Linked DNA regions of Mus musculus: region 1 is reported to be linked to region 2. The links are microRNA targets in miRTarBase. Many come from high-throughput screens and were not tested one by one. Region 2 holds a microRNA gene; the other region holds the end of a gene's coding sequence.

The links. Region 2 holds the annotated microRNA mmu-miR-3089-5p (UGAGUUCAGGGACAGCGUGUCU, at 2,163-2,184, opposite strand). A microRNA usually pairs through its seed, bases 2 to 8, with sites in the 3' UTR of a target mRNA and lowers its output. Matches are read on the target gene's strand: a 7mer-m8 pairs with bases 2 to 8, a 7mer-A1 pairs with bases 2 to 7 and ends in A, and an 8mer does both.
Region 1: miRTarBase lists Marchf5 as a target of mmu-miR-3089-5p. Seed matches in the 3' UTR shown: 7mer-m8 at 2,377-2,383.

Annotation. Positions count from the first base shown.
Region 1 is chr19:37,220,723-37,228,341 of GRCm38, forward strand. Marchf5 (membrane associated ring-CH-type finger 5) reads left to right here. Exons shown (of 6, transcript NM_027314.3): 5 at 1-83; 6 at 668-3,735. The coding sequence ends at 784. Among named protein-coding and RNA genes, the nearest start is that of Gm25268, 9.0 kb to the right of the region's middle.
Region 2 is chr2:30,715,787-30,723,405 of GRCm38, reverse strand. It overlaps Mir3089 (microRNA 3089), which reads right to left and starts at 2,196; the gene lies at 2,113-2,196. Gm14488 (a long non-coding RNA gene) reads left to right here and starts at 2,219. Exons shown (of 4, transcript XR_866106.3): 1 at 2,219-3,433; 2 at 3,536-3,700. It overlaps Gm39782 (a long non-coding RNA gene), which reads left to right. Exons shown (of 3, transcript XR_866107.2): 2 at 300-351; 3 at 693-1,843.

The sequences.
Region 1 (7,619 bases), not on the chromosome of region 2:
CCCTTGTCTTTCCTACTATTGCGACAATAGTTGGTAAACTGATGTTCAGTAGTGTTAACTCAAATTTACAAAGGACAATCTTGGTAAGATGGATTTAATGTTACTTGTTTCAAGTAGTATACAGATGAGAGCTAACTATTTGTGTTTAAAGGGAGAGATGTTATGTAGGGGCTCTGTCTGCTCCCTCCATCAACCCCCACTGTCAGCATAGCTTGAGAGAAATTAAAAAAAGAAAGCAGGTCCTGTGCCAGCTGCCTCCTGGACCCTCCCTGTGGGTACCTTCTCTTCTGGACTGCGCTCTGGGTTCAGTCCCCAGTACCAGCATCATAAATAAACAACTGAGATGAAACTGGCTCATACTGTTTCCTGTCATCCTGTTTGCCCTCCTTGGTTGCAGCCCACATAGTGCCTGGCATTCTCCTCTCTCTCAGTGTGTAAGAACTCCATGGGAAGAAAGCTACACAAGTGATGTAGGAACAGGGCCTCTTCCTTTGCTACTTGAAGCCTGCTCTTTCCCAACTTCTGCCCTCACAGAAGAGAATGTTTCACTTGTAATTATCAGCATTTACTTGGCTTCAAATCCTGTCTTTTGTGATAGGTGTAAAGTTCTTTTTCTTGTTTATCTGATCCTGCATTATAAAAACATTAATTTCCCTTTTTATTTTAGGGTGGAATTGCTTTTGTTGCCATAAAAGGAGCATTTAAGGTTTACTTCAAACAGCAGCAATATTTACGTCAGGCACACCGCAAAATCCTAAATTATCCAGAGCAAGAAGAAGCATAAAACTGACTTCTGGTTGTTCTGAGGCCTCTCATCCTGACGAGTCTGTTGTGTTCTGATTCCATCATTAATGCGCTAGTGGAGACTTGTGACGCTGCTCCTATATTCTAAGAGATACAATAAAGCACGCAGGGCCGGGGCAAGCCGCCCAGTAATCACGGACCTAAGGACACGCGTCAGCTCTGTCATTTGTATGTTCTACTTTTATGGCAGTCGGCTAAACCATTATTTTAGCATGGGAAACCTGAGTTTGTTCATATTTTTCCAGACAAGAATGTAAAGATAAAACTGTACAAACATTAAAAGTGGACATGTTTTATTCTGACGCCTCTTTTGTATATACTCAGTTCAGTGTTTTCTTAGGAATAGCAACTCGATGAAGGAACTGTGAGGGCTTTTCTCATTGGTGTAATTGATTGTATGCTACAAAGGAGCCTCTGTTAACAGGAGGAAGTGTAAACTAGTTCTGAATAAATAACAAACCCAGAAATGTATGTCAGCATTGAAGTGATTATCTGAACAAAAGAGATTTTGTTTTCTTTTCCTAAACCCATGTGACATCTCAGATGTGAAGGGTCAGTTTCCAGGGCTTCCAAAGCACTTTTTCACTATTAAACTTTATTTATGCAATGTTGACATCTCATAGTTCATAGTGTACTTTTGACTCGTAGTCGTCCTGTGTGTGTGGTGTGAGGGTGTGTGTGTGAGCGGGGAAGGGGACTTCAGAAAGAAGGTAGGAGGGAGGGAAGCAGAGGATAGTGATAGGGAAATGAGGTGGAAGGCCCTTTTATCACTTAGTATGTTTTTAAATTTGTATTTCTACAAATTAGAACTACTGATTCATAGGTTAAGCAGAGAACAACTTGCAAAAAATGATAATAAAATTATTGGGTTTCTGTTGATTCCGTTATTCAGATATTTGTTAACTGGCTCCCACTTACCTAGTCACTGTGCAGGTGCTATGGGATAGAGTTGGGGAACTTGTTCAGAGAGTCTGCAGTCTAATAGAACAAGCACTGATTGAACCCAAGGGAGCTCTTGAATATCAGTGAGGTAATTATGGAGTATTGATCAGGGTCATTGGTTTCCACTTTATCTGTTTATAGGATAGCCAATACTGTTTTTAGGGTATCTTGTTTTTGAATCAGGGTCTCTAGCATAGCTAACCTCAGACTTCCTGTGTATCTGAAGGTGGCCTTGAGCTCCTGATCCCTGAGCCTCCTAACTACAGGTGAGCACCACAACACCTGCTTTTCTAACTTAATGCTGTGGATTGAACCTAGGGCCTTACACATGCTAGGTATACACTACATCACCAGCCCTCCTTTTAGATTTTAGTTGTCATATTAAGGGGGCGATCTCCTTACTAGTCATTGTTTAACTAGTTTTATATTCATTGTTCAAAAGCAATTATTTAGGTCATGTTTAATAGTGACCATTACAATGTTCAGCAATCTGATTAGAATGAAAAATTTTTTTTAAAGATTTATTTATTTATTATATGTAAGTACACTGTAGCTGTCTTCAGACACTCCAGAAGAGGGAGTCAGATCTCATTATGGGTGGTTGTGAGCCACCATGTGGTTGCTGGGATTTGAACTCCGGACCTTCGGAAGAACAGTCGGGTGCTCTTACCCGCTGAGCCATCTCACCAGCCCCTAGAATGAAAATTTTTAAAGTTTAAAAAATAATGCTGTTCACAGTATATGATGCATGATAATGCTCCCCCTTTCTGCGAAATGGATACTTCTCTTTAGAAGTGTAACAAATATAGATTGAGCTGTGTTAGATTGTAAATAAATATTTTAGTAAAGACTGGTATCTTTCTCTAGGTTGGTTATCTCAGTTTTGAGTTTTACGGTGTCTGTGGGAATGACTCTTTTGAACATCCAGAGTTGTAATTATCTAGGGTATAAGGGGCAATTTGACTGAGTTAACCTTAACACTGCTGTTATTCTGTAGAGAAAATGTGAACCCTGATTATATATAAAAATAACTAAGATCTACAGCTGTAATTATGAAATTGGCTTCCATCATTGCCAGTGTGAAAATATATATATTCTGACATTTCCTGGATACTCCTGTTAAGTTGAGCAGCTTTTACACAGCCACAAGCCCTCAGCTCCCTGTGTACTACTTTAATTTCCGGGGTGGTGGTGGGGGGTGGGGAGCTGCTTGGATCGATCTATTGGCATCAAGGCCCGTGAAGGCAGAGGTTTATAGAGCTATGGGGAGGGAGCCACACTTGTCTGCAGTCCAGAGTGAACACTAGCCCTGCTGCATTTGAACACCACATGACAGGCCTCCCTGGAACCACAAATCAAAAGACATGGGCAGACTGAAAGCTGAATAGGTTACGTTGAGCTCCCATCAAGTTTTAGTAGCTGTAGTGTATAACCTTGGCCAGGTGGCTATTCAGCCACAGTTACGTTCATCTCTAAAATGCAAGTCACACCTAGACACTTTCTAGGATTTGGTTGAGAAAAGACAGGTACTTTCGGCCTCAGTAGCTCCTAAAGGTGGTCGTCCCATCTAGGACAGGGCAGTAACCAAGGGTAGGGCCCTCGAGGACAGAGCCAGCACAGACTTGAGGATTTGTGAGTATGCTGTTCTCCGATTTTCTTTCTTTTTCTTCCTTCCTTCCTTCCTTCCTTCCTTCCTTCCTTCCTTCCTTCCTTCCTTTCTTTTTGTCCTAGAAATGTCACATTTAAACCTTTTTTTAAAAAAATTAGAATTCAGTGATTAGTAAAATTCTATTGTAGAAGTTAACTCCATCTAAGTTGGCTGAAAATGTTCATTACTTACCAAATGGTTGAAGAATATATAATTAAGTGGCTTCATTAGTCACTGCCTTGCTAATTTTGCTGTATTTTTTTTTCTAATTCCTTGTTTTTAATATAGAAAACTCAATACTGGCTGAAATAGGTTGAATAAACAATTTTTATGCTCTCTAAGTGTATTTTGTCTGTTGAACCAACCCTAAACTTATTTCACTATTTTGAAGTTAAGTTTTAAATATTTATTTTTAGTTAAGTGTATCTCTATGTGGGTGTGTGCACATTGAGTGCAAATGCCTATAGAGTCCAGAAGGGCACCAGATTCCTTGTGGCTCACAGGTAATTGTGAGCCACCAGACATGGGTGCTAAGAACTAAACCTGCGTCCACTGTAAGAGCAGTAAGCACTTTGTTTTTCTATTTATTCACTTTACATCCTGATCAAAGCCCCACCTCTCCCTCCAGTTCCCCCTTCACATAACTCTTCTCCCATCCCCACTTCCCTTCTCGGAGAAGGGGGAGTCCCCTCCCCCCAGATACAACCCCTGGAACTTAGTATATAAGACCTGCTTCCTCTAAGATACTAGGATCTTTAAAAATAGTGGGATAATGGGGGTGTTGAAAGTTTCATGTAGCCCAAATTGACACCAAACTTTGTATGGAGCTGAGGCTGACCATGAATCTTCATGTCTTACTCTACCTCTGAAAGGCTACGATTATAGGCATGTGCCGCCAAAACCAGCTTGAAGTACTCAGACAAGATGTTTCTAATGTAGGGACTGGAGAGAAGGCTGCAGTTAAGAGTACTTGTTGCTCTTGTAGAGGGACAGGGTTGCGTTCCCAGCACCCACATACATGTAACTCTAGTTTTAGGGAGATCTGATACCTTCTGATCTCTGCAGGTACCAGGCATGCATGTGGTACAAAGACATACAGGCAGGGGAAACACTAAAAATGTTTTAAAGTTTCTAAAGCAGATTAGAATGTTCCAAGTTGAATGAGTCCAAGGCACTTGCATCTTAGCAATTCTGTTGTTCTAAGTTGCTTTATTGCCTGATATACAGACTAGTTGCTGAAACAGTTCAGTGGCCTTGGGTGCATGCCCTAGCTGGTAAAGAGAGATACCTCCCAGACCCAAACCTGATTATTTCCCGGGTTGTTGTGAAGATTAGGTGAAGTGGCTTTTTACAAAGTTTGATATTCAAGAGAGTCTGTACAAATACGTATGCAGTGGAAGTTCGTCCCTAAACTTAGCTTGGGCCGCTGCTTCCCAGCTGCCTGCCTTCTTTAGCTCAGGCAAGGCGGGGAGGGCTTGCATCTGATACTTAACCAGAGCCTTAAGGACCAGCAACAGGCTAGACTCCGTCTGTTCAAGTTAATGAAGCTTTCAAGCCTTTGTGGTTAAGATAACTGTATCCAAAGCAGTAGATACTTGCTGGCCATGCCCCAGGTACTGGTGGATAAGCCTGCATTACTGATACAAGTCTCTTAAAGGTGTTTGTTTGTTTGTTTTTCTTTTTAAGTTTTTTTTTTTTTACTCTTCAATTCTAGCACTAGAATTTCTGCTTCTGGAAGGGGTGCATAAACGCCTTGTGAGGATGAAGAAAATATTCCTTTCATGATCAAATCCTTTCTCAGTGCTAGTTCTTTGTGTGCATCTGTGGTGGGTCGGGGAGGCAGTGTGCTTTATATGGAGGCCAGAGGACAACATCAGGTGTCTTCCCCAACTTCTCCACATTAATGTGTTGAGTCTCTCACTTAATTGGTCAGTTAGACTGGCTGGCTAGAAAATCCTAGACCCACTGGGGTTCCGGCTACACATGGGTGCAGGAGGTGTGAACCCCGCTTGCTCGAGCTTCCACAGCAAGCTCTTTGCCACTTGCACTTTTCCCCAGGCCCGGCATCTTTACCTCCTCTGGGGTCCTGGTTGGTTTTGGTTTGGTTTGGTTTGGTTTTGGTTTTTGTTTTATTTTTTTATTGAAAATAGACCTTTTCATACAATTTTTTTATCTTTAATCTTTTTTTACAGTCCAGTCGTTATCCTCTCCCTGTTCTGCCCTCCAACAGTTCCTCATCTCATTCCTCCATTCCTGTCTCCAATTGGATGGCCCCACCCCCATCCCACCAAAGCCTCCCTCCCCACTCCCTGGGGCCTCAGGTCTCTGAAGGGTTAGGTGCATCTTCTCACTGAGGCCAGACCAGGCAGTCCTCTGCTGTATATGTGTTGAAGGCCTTGGACCAGTTAGTGTATGCTGCCTGGTTGGTGGCTCAGTGAAAGAGATCCAGTGACCAGCCCAAATTGGGATCCACCTCAAGGTCTGACACTATTACTGATGCTATAGTATACATACAGACAAAAGCCTAGCATGGCTGCCCTCCAAGAGTCCCAACAAGCAGCTGATTGAGACAGACATGGATACTGACACCGAACCAATGGACTGAAGTCAGAGACCCCTGTGGTTGAATTAGGGAAAGGCTGGAAGAAGTTGAGGTTGTGGGTGACCCCATAGGAAGACCAGCAGTGTCCTGGTTTCTTGAAGTTAACCTTAGCACCATTTTCTTGGGTGGGGAGTGTGTGTTCTAGGTCCAAAAATGGTCCAAGATCTGTCTGTCTCTACCTCCTGGAGCACTGGGATTTAAAGACACGGCCACCATATCAGCTTATTTTTTATTTTATGCATGCTTTGCCTGCATAATGTATGCATGTGCAATGCATGCTTGCCTGTTGCCTGCAAATCCTAGAAAGGGCATCAGATACCATGGAGAGCCTCCGTGTGGGTGTTGGGAGTACAACTCTTGTCCTCTGGAAGAGCAGTCTGTCCTCTTAACCTCCGAGCCATCTCTCCATCCCTGCAACAGTTCTGTTTGTTTCTTAACTATATAAAACTTTGGGGCTAGAAAGATGGCTCAGCAGTTGAGGGTACTGACTGTTCTTCCAGAGGACCCAGGTTCAAAACCCAGCACCCACATGGCAGCTTGTAACCGTCTTTAACTCCAAGATCTGATGCCTTCACACAGACATGCATGCATGCATGCAAAACGCCAATACACATAAAATGGAAATAAATAATTAAAAAGTAAATAAAACTGCTTTGTGCCACATAAATGTGATACGGGATTAATCAGCATGCCTGTTAATGAGTTTTGCTCTGGTTACTCTAAATGCTGACGATAGCAAACCCCCAGTCCACTCACTCACTCATTCACTCCAGACCCCTTGAATGAGTGCTCCTTTTAAGAATGTGAAAGAAGCACTGGCAGCCATTTTACTACCCTTGACATTCGGCCATTCAGAAATAAGTTTGGTCAGTGGGATCTGCTTGGGAGCTCACAGGTTGTCAGAATTTGTGGCATACTGTTGGGATTAGGCTCTGTGCTCAGCCAGTCTTAATTTCCCAGGAGAGACTTGGATAGATGTTGAAGGCTCTCAGCTGTGCCATGTTCATTCATTAAACTACTTTACATCCATGGCAGGACTGATAGAATGGTAGCAGCCAGGGTCTGTTTCAGCCTCTGAAAACCATCTCAAAACCTCTAGACTAATATCTACTCCTTTACAGTGTCCTATGTCTGTTGTAAAAACAACAAAACAAAAGTTCTACCCAGTTCAAAAGTACTGTTACCATCAACGGGAAAAAAAAAAACCCTAATCTGTATGGGTATTTCATTTGTCTCTGTTACTGGCAAAATGCTGGCCACTTTACACCCAGTTTGTATACGTCCGTATTTCCAGAAGCCCAAACTTATCATCCTCAATGTGGTCTTTCCAAATGGCACAAGAAAAGCACTTCAAAAATATTACATTTTCAGCTATACTCTTACAATTATTATCTTTATGGGTATGTGCCTGCTGTATGTGTGTTCACTGTGTTTCTGCAGATGTCTGTGACTGTGTCCATGGAAACCAGGAAAGTTCATTGGGGCCTCAATCTATGCAAACAAAACAAAGCAAAAAATCATGGTACTGAAACACACACACACACACACACACACACACTGCTCAGTTTGCCCATAATAAGAATAAACAGGGCTGGAGAGGTGGCTCAGCAGTTCAGAGTACTA
Region 2 (7,619 bases):
CTGCTCTATTTCCTGACCTATAAAATGGCATTGGCTAAAAAGGGGGTGGGGCGATGATGGCTCAGTTGTGCCGGCCATGAAAGGATGAAGATCTGAGTTTGATTCCCAACACCCACTTAAAAGCCAGCTGCAGTGGTATCTATTACCCCTGGGGCTGGGGAGGCAGACAAGCAGATCCCGGGAGCTTGCTGGCCAGCCTAGCTGAATTAGTGAGCTCTGGGTTGAATGAGAGGCCCTTTCTCAAACACACGCTGAGCGTGATAGAGGAAGACTCTGACCTCTGTCTCTGGCTTCCACAGGCTTGCATCTGTGCACACGGACCCTCCTACATGCAAACCCCCACACGAACAGGTACGTACCACCCCCTCACTCACAAAAGACAAAATAAAAATAAAAACAAAAAAAGGTCTTAATCAGAGGCTCGTTTGGATTTTTCCAGCTCCCCTTGTCTCCCAGGGCCCTCTCCTAGAGGGGGTTAAGCACATTAAGATGCAAGCAGAGTCGGCTCTGCTCTGCGCTCAGAGCGGGCCAGGGCTGAGCAGATTCTGGTTGTTATTGTTGCTGTCTGTGGCACCCTGAGTGCCTGCCCCAACACCCTCTAGGAGACTCTGGGGAATTTTCCAGAGCTTCAGGGCTGAGTTGAGCACAGATCTCAGAACTCCTAATGTTTGTTTCTTGTTCTCCTTCCCCAGCCTCCTGAAAACACGGATCCCCATCAGCCTAAAGTGGTCTGGGAAATGCTTGGTCTTCCTTACACTGATTCCTGTGTCTTTTTGTTGGGCTTTGGGTTGGAAAACTCTAGAAGAACCTAGATCAAATTTTAGAATTGAACCCTGAGGGTCCAGGCTTAGCTCACCCAGCAAGGCAGCTTCCCTGGCCTATGCAGCACAGCCACCTGCCTTACGCTGAGCTCTGGCTCCTTCAGAGGCCTCTGGCATTACCAGTGCTTCTTGGACAGTGTCTTGTTTCTGAACTTTAGGCCACAAAATAGAACAGACTGGGGTGCCTTTGGACCCAAGGGTAGGAGGACAGAGCTGTACTCCCAACTGAATTAGGAGGCAGAAAGACTGGGGGGTGGGGGGTGGGCATGGCATCCACAGAGAGGCAGGGGTGTGGGAACCCTCTGAGGGTGCCGGGCAGGGGCTGTGGGCCAGGCCTGGGAGCCTCGGGGAGGCCGGCAGGCACAGAGAAGGAGGCCTCCTACCAGACACTGTCTAGACGCAGCAATTATTGTCAGCTCGGAACACCCAGGCTCTGCCTGTGCAGCTGAAAAGGAGCTTAACAAAGAGAGAGGGAGGAAGAAGAAAGCGGAGCAGAGCCGCTCTGAGCCTGCCTGCCCGCCTGCAGCCCGCGGCTCTTTCTCTGCTTGGGCTCCCCCCCTCTTTGTGTTCCACAGGCACTGTTGAGGGGACAGCTCCTCACAGCTCAGAGATGCCTGATGGGGACAGAGCAGGAGGTGCAGCTCTGGGGCCCTGGCCAACTCTTCTGAGCTAGGCTTCTCAGAGTGGATGCTGGGAAGTCTGGGTCTTGTCCACTTTAGAGGGCTCTAGCCTACACCCTTGTCATACTGATGGGGAGCCTTGGGTCACGGAATGACAGCCTGACACCTACCCTCCTCTGCTTCCAAGGAGCCAGGCACTTTGTAGATAGGGTTAGGGGTGGGGGCTCAGAGAACACAGTCAGCCGTGGGGTGGCTTCAGGTCTGTCCTTTAGATCTGGGCCTTATTCTTCTCACCCTTGGGAGGAGGTGAGAGGGCAGGGCCAGCATAGCTTTGATGGGAAGCCCACCCTCCCCCGCCAGGACAGGGTTTCTCTGTGCAGCCCTGGCTGTCTTGGAACTAACTCTGTAAACCAGGCTGACCTTGAACTCATAGAGACCCTCCTGCCTCTGCCTCTTGAGTGCTGGGATTAAAGGTGTGTGCCATCACTGCCTGGCTGGAAGACTGTTATTAGCCGTGGCAGGCCCTTCAGAGCTGGAAGATGAGCACTTTGGATTCCATATGTGTCCTAGAACCTTCCCCCTCCTCTCAGTTGCCATTCCCGAGACCCCCTTGGCGTTGGCAGCAGTGGTGCTCAGAGTGTAGGGGTGGAGCCTCAAGGCCCTGGGTTTCTGCAGCTAAAAACACAGCTCAGGATCAGCAGATGCTCAGACAGAGAAACTGAGACACGCTGTCCCTGAACTCAGTTGCAAGCCACCAGCTGTTCCCCTTATCTCCCTGTTCCAGGGCATCTGGGCAGGGGCTCTGCTCTCAGCCCAGTCTGTAGCTCTAACTCTACCCACTAGCTTAGGCTCATGGAAAGGACCTACTGTGTGCTCAACTCTGCTCTCCTCTTGCCAGCAGTTGGGGTTGGGGGCCGGGTGGGGAGTGACTTGGTGGGTGGGCACCTTCTACATCCTGTGGAGGTAATGAGCAGTCCCAACCTACTGCTGGGGAAAGGCCTGAAGCTGGTCAGGGCTCCAGAGTGACTGGGTAGGGGTAGCTGGGTCCCTCTCAATCCTTCTCAATTAGAGACAAGGCCCTCAGAGCAAGAAACATGCATACCTGCCCTTACATCACACCCGAGGCCTCTTGATCTGTCCCCAGGACCTTCCCAGGCTCCAGGCATCGGCCTGGCCTGCCCGAGGCTCAGCCCTGCTGGCCACACACTGTCTTGTCTGCTGTGTCTCCCAGTACTCAATTATAGGAACAGAACCCTCCTCTCTCCCTCTGCACCATTACCATAACAAACCTGATTCCCCTGCCTATACTGCAGACCCACCGGGATCAGCCGGTCCACCAGGATTCTAGCATATTCTGCAATGCCACTGCAGCTCCCTCAGCCCTCCCCACTGGGTCTTCCTTTCACCTGGCGCTCTGAGCCATCTCTACCAGACCCTCAAATATGCGAAGCTGCCAGCCTGCTCCTGTGAGTTGTCCCCTGCCTCCTGAACAGCACCAGCCCTCCCTGTCACATAGCCAGCCCAGACAGCTTTCTGATTCCTCCCGCATCTGCACTAGGCTGGTCTTCCACCATGGCACAAACCAAGCTTGAGTTCAGCCCCCAGTTCCTAGCCTCTGGGAGCTTTGGAGACCTGTTCTCTCTGCTCCATAAAAGCCTGCCAAACCTTCCAGAGGCAGGAATTGATAGACCACTTGGATCTGAGGCCTGAAGACTGCCAGTCCTGTCTTCCCTGGCTTCGCATTAGTTGAGTTAGTCATCCCAGTAGATCCTCATGCACCCTTCTCTAGGACACTTCTGACCCCTGCTGAGATCACACACACAGCCAGTCTGCCTAAGTCCCTGATATTTCAGCCTTCTTGGGGGCACCCAATGCATTTTTTATGGCTCGCCACGCCTGCGAGCCCTGTGGGCCAGCTGTCTCTGGCTTGTCTCACTCTGTGAACCCAGCTCCTGCTTCTGAGGTGCCTTCCCAGCCTGACACCACCTAGAGGTAGGAGAAGTGACTTGGGCCCACACCCCCCCCCCCCCCCCCCCCGTAAGTGAATCCCTCTCGGCCCAAGCACCAAGGCAACCTCTTTGTCCTCTTTCCCAGGGCCTCCATGCAGACTCCCAGGAGTCACCGTGAAGGCCAGAACAAGGCTGTGCCATTGTGCTGCCCACTGACCTGAGAGCACTCCCAGGAGCTGGAACTGCCTTGTGCCCAGTTCCTCCCTCAAGCCCCCATGCAACTAGGCCAGTCCACAAGGACAGGAGGATGGTAGGTCCAGCAGGGGTGGGTACCCCACATCTATTCCTCCTCCAGAATTGGCCCAGAGCGTTCCCCAACCCTTGCTGTGGGATATCTAAGCCTCATCTTCCTTCCTCCCTGCCCTGCCTGTCCTTTCCCTCCAAATATCTATCCCTCTCCTCTCCTCTCCTCTCCTCTCCTCTCCTCTCCTCTCCTCTCCTCTCCTCTCCTCTCCTCTCCTCTCCTCTCCTCTCCTCTCCTCTCTCTCCTCTCCTCTCCTTGTTCTCGCCTCTCCTCTCCTCTTTTTCTCTCCTCTCCTCTCTTTTCCTCGTCTTCTCTGAGTCCTCCCTGGGCCTCCTTCCTTTCTTCTTCCTGGGTTAAAAATAATCAACTTTCTGGGAAGCGGCAGTTCCCGCTGAGCCGCCCTCCCCACACACGGGAGCCCCTGAGAATAGCTTTCTGCGGCTCTCCACTGAACCCCTCCCTCCCTCCTCCCTCCTTCCCTCCGCCCCCTCCCCGCCGGCTGACTAATAAGCCGGGCAGCCGGCTCTGCCAGCTCGCTGCAAGGGCGTTAACTGCTTCGTGCCCGGGTGGCGTTCAGCATATAGCGACAACAGGAGGGTTGTAGGGCACCAGGCCACACGGAGCCGGAGCTCTGGGCCCGTAGTAGACGTTTAACTAACCCAGCTCTGCTAGGCCGAGTGGTTTGGTGAACTTTGTCATCTAACTACCGCTGCGAGCCTGCTGCTGCTGCGGCTGTTGTGTGGCTAGCTAGTTCCTAGCTTAGGAGGAAGGGGTCAGTGGGATCAGTCAGGAGAGGCACCCAAGGGTCGGGACCACGTGAAGGGTGTGACTGGCCTAGTGACTCCTTGGCCCCGGATTCTGGGAACCATTGCGACGGGGCAGAGGTCAAAGGCAAGGCAAGGCTGCCTGCTGCTCTGGGGATCCATGCAGGTACCCCACTGGGAGGGACTTTGACAATTAAGAAATTACATCTAGGGAAACTGAGGTCCAGGGGGTGTTATTCAGGCTAGGATGCATCTGAACATCTGCAGCAGTGCGTGAGGCTCAGTGCTGCAGGGGGCTGATGATCCCAGTCCCTCAAGGTTGGAAGAAGAGCCGGGATATCAAGGTCAAAGGTGAGGGGTTGCTAAGGAGAGCAGAAAGTCAGAAGGAGCAGAGGGGTCCACTCAAGCCCCACCCACTCTGCGCGTCCTGGCATTACCTCATCACCAAGCATGCCCATTGGCTGGCTCTCCTGGAGGCCGGCCCAATGCGGCGGAGCGCATTAACCCGTTCCTCCCAGCAAGCTGCGCTCTGCCCACACCACCCACCTCTGTGTCCCCCACGTAGCCTGCAGAGCCTGAGAGTTGAGAGGACCGGGGAATAGGTGAAGGAGGTGCAGTCCTACGGCCGCATAGTCCCATGGGTGCTGTGTAACTGGGACATCCCTGTCCTGTTCTGGGCTGTGTGACCTTGGACAGACTGCTGCACCTCGCTGAGCCTCGGTTTGTTTTTCTCAGCTGTAAAAAGAAGTGAATGATGTAACTCACGCCCTTCCTAATCCCTGCCATGTGCTTGACAAATGCGGGGCACACGTGGGCTCTGCGTCCCACGGTGCGCCTGAGTGAGCACAAGTGGTACCATTGGGAAGATGGGGTTTCGGGAGAGCAAACGGCTCAAGGTTACCCCGCCATCTCAGGGCTGCCTTTCTTACAGGCTTCTTCTGCTCTTCAGGGAAGTGTTGCTTCCCGCAGTAGAGGTGGAATTGTGCCCAGCTGCTCAGACCCCAGCAAACCCCCTGTAGTTGACCAGTGACAGAGGAGAGCCTTGTGGTCTCCAGGAATATAAGCTGGGACTGAACCCCCAATGGCAGAGGACCCCTGGGGCAAGCACAAAGAAAGGACTACTGGGAAGGACTGAAGCATAGCAAAGGGTTAGTCAGCTACTGGTCCAGAAGGCTGCTTCTCTGGACTTTGGAAATATGCAGAGACCCACAGGCCTGCCTGAGTGTTTACAAATTATAAATCAGGCTAGCAAGCAGCTAAATCAAATCCCTTCCCTCCACCCTGACAAATCCACCTTCCTTAGGAAAGATACAGGCCTCCAAGGCTGGGTTTGTATTTCTAGCTCCCGGGTTTTTCTGGTGCCCAGAAGGGAGCACACGGTGGCTAGCTTCCTCCCAGGATCCTCAGCTCTATCTACCACCTCTGCTTGTCCTCCGCGGGCTGTGCACACTCAGGACCGAGTGGGCACTGCAGGCTGAGAGTCAGCTGGGGCCACGCCCCTACAGACAGCCATCTGCTGGTCACCTGAGTGCTGAGAGTGCCCACGAGGCAGTTTAGACAACCCTCGGGGCCTCTGAGACCCGAGCTCCGGGGCTCCGACCACGCTGGTCTCTGAACCACCAGTCTTAAGTGGAGAGGTCCTGCCAAGCGCCCTGGGCTGCAAGTGCAGCTGGGGTGGTCTTCGCTGGAGCCAGGGGCTGCTCTCTTGGAATTTCCTTCTGCCCTTTGCTTCTGGCCACACCCACTCTAGCTAGATCGCCACCCCTAAGCCATTGCGGACTCTTCCCAAAGTTCCCGTTCCCACTGCTTCGGCCTGTGCTGTGCGCACCTACCCCTCTCTGCCCCCTCCCAGAGCTCCTCTCCCACATTCCCTGCCCACCTGGTATCCCTCCCTAAAGCCAGCCATGCAAATCTTCCTGGAACTCAGACCAGGCTGCTGCTTCCTTCAGCAACAGAACTGGCTTCCATGTTGAGTTCCCTGCCACAACGTGCCCCACTGATGGCCAGCTTCCCCTGGATGCCACCTTTTTGTCTCATCCCCCTGTGGCTCTGGGCTCCAGCCATTGGCCCCAGCTCTGATTAGGTAGGGCACATTCTGTTCCTTTCTGCGCTGGGTCTTTGCACTCTCCACTTGCTTGGCTTGGAGTCCTGTTTTCTGCCCCTCACCTCCTGGGGGTGGGGCGTCCCTGATCCCCACCCCCACTCCCAGCCCAGCAGAAATCACACAGCAGGAGCTGGTTATCTGCGGAGTATCCGGTGGCCAGCTAGCTTCCCCCCGTGGCCAGTGTGCAGCAGGAAAGCTGCCCGGCAGCCAAGCTTGCAGCTGCTCCTCTGGGTCTCAGCAGAATGCCCAGCATCATGGAGGACCACTGGGTGCTGGAGGGGATCTCTGGATCTCAGCAGGCCCCTGGGCTCTCTAGTCTTCATCAGCACTGCCTCCCGCACAGCCCCCTTTATAAAGGGACCTCATGTTTCCATTCTCCAGGACAAGGACACTACGCACAAAGGTTCTTTGACACAAAAGGCGAGTCACAGACCCAGATCAGAACCCAGGTGGTCCACCTCCCTCCTTCTAGCTACAGACCGAGGGGGCAATATCTTGCTGTGGGTCTTTGGGCAAATGTCTCAACCTCTCTAGTGGAAGCTTTGCTTTGTATAGGACTGGCCAGAAGGGTGGGTGATCATTTGAGATTCTTCCCAGTTAACATGGGGCTGGGGGTGCTGTGATTTGTGACCTTCAGACAGTTCCTCTGATGGCCTGACCTGCAGCTAGCACCTACCTCCAATCATTCTCCCAGGCTTCTCTATGAAGTGCACCCTGCTTCACTGCCAAGGAGACAAGGCAGGGAAGCCTGGTGGTTAGAACACCCAGCTTCAGGGTGGGCCAAGTGCAGATCCTGCCACCTCCTTAGCATAGCAGTGTGGCTTCAAAGGGTCGCTGTCCACCAGGCTCTTCATCTGTCACAACTCATTGAGCCCTGGGTGCTTCCTGGGTTGTGAGGACAACGCCAGCACTTGGCTGTCATGTCAGAATGGACACAAGGGCTTTGGTCCACCTGCCTGTGTTCTCAGCTTATCAGTCAAGTTAACCACGTGGTTGAAGAATGTCATCTCCACTCAGACGAGTTCCCCAAATCCAACTGAGAAGTTGGACCTGAGTA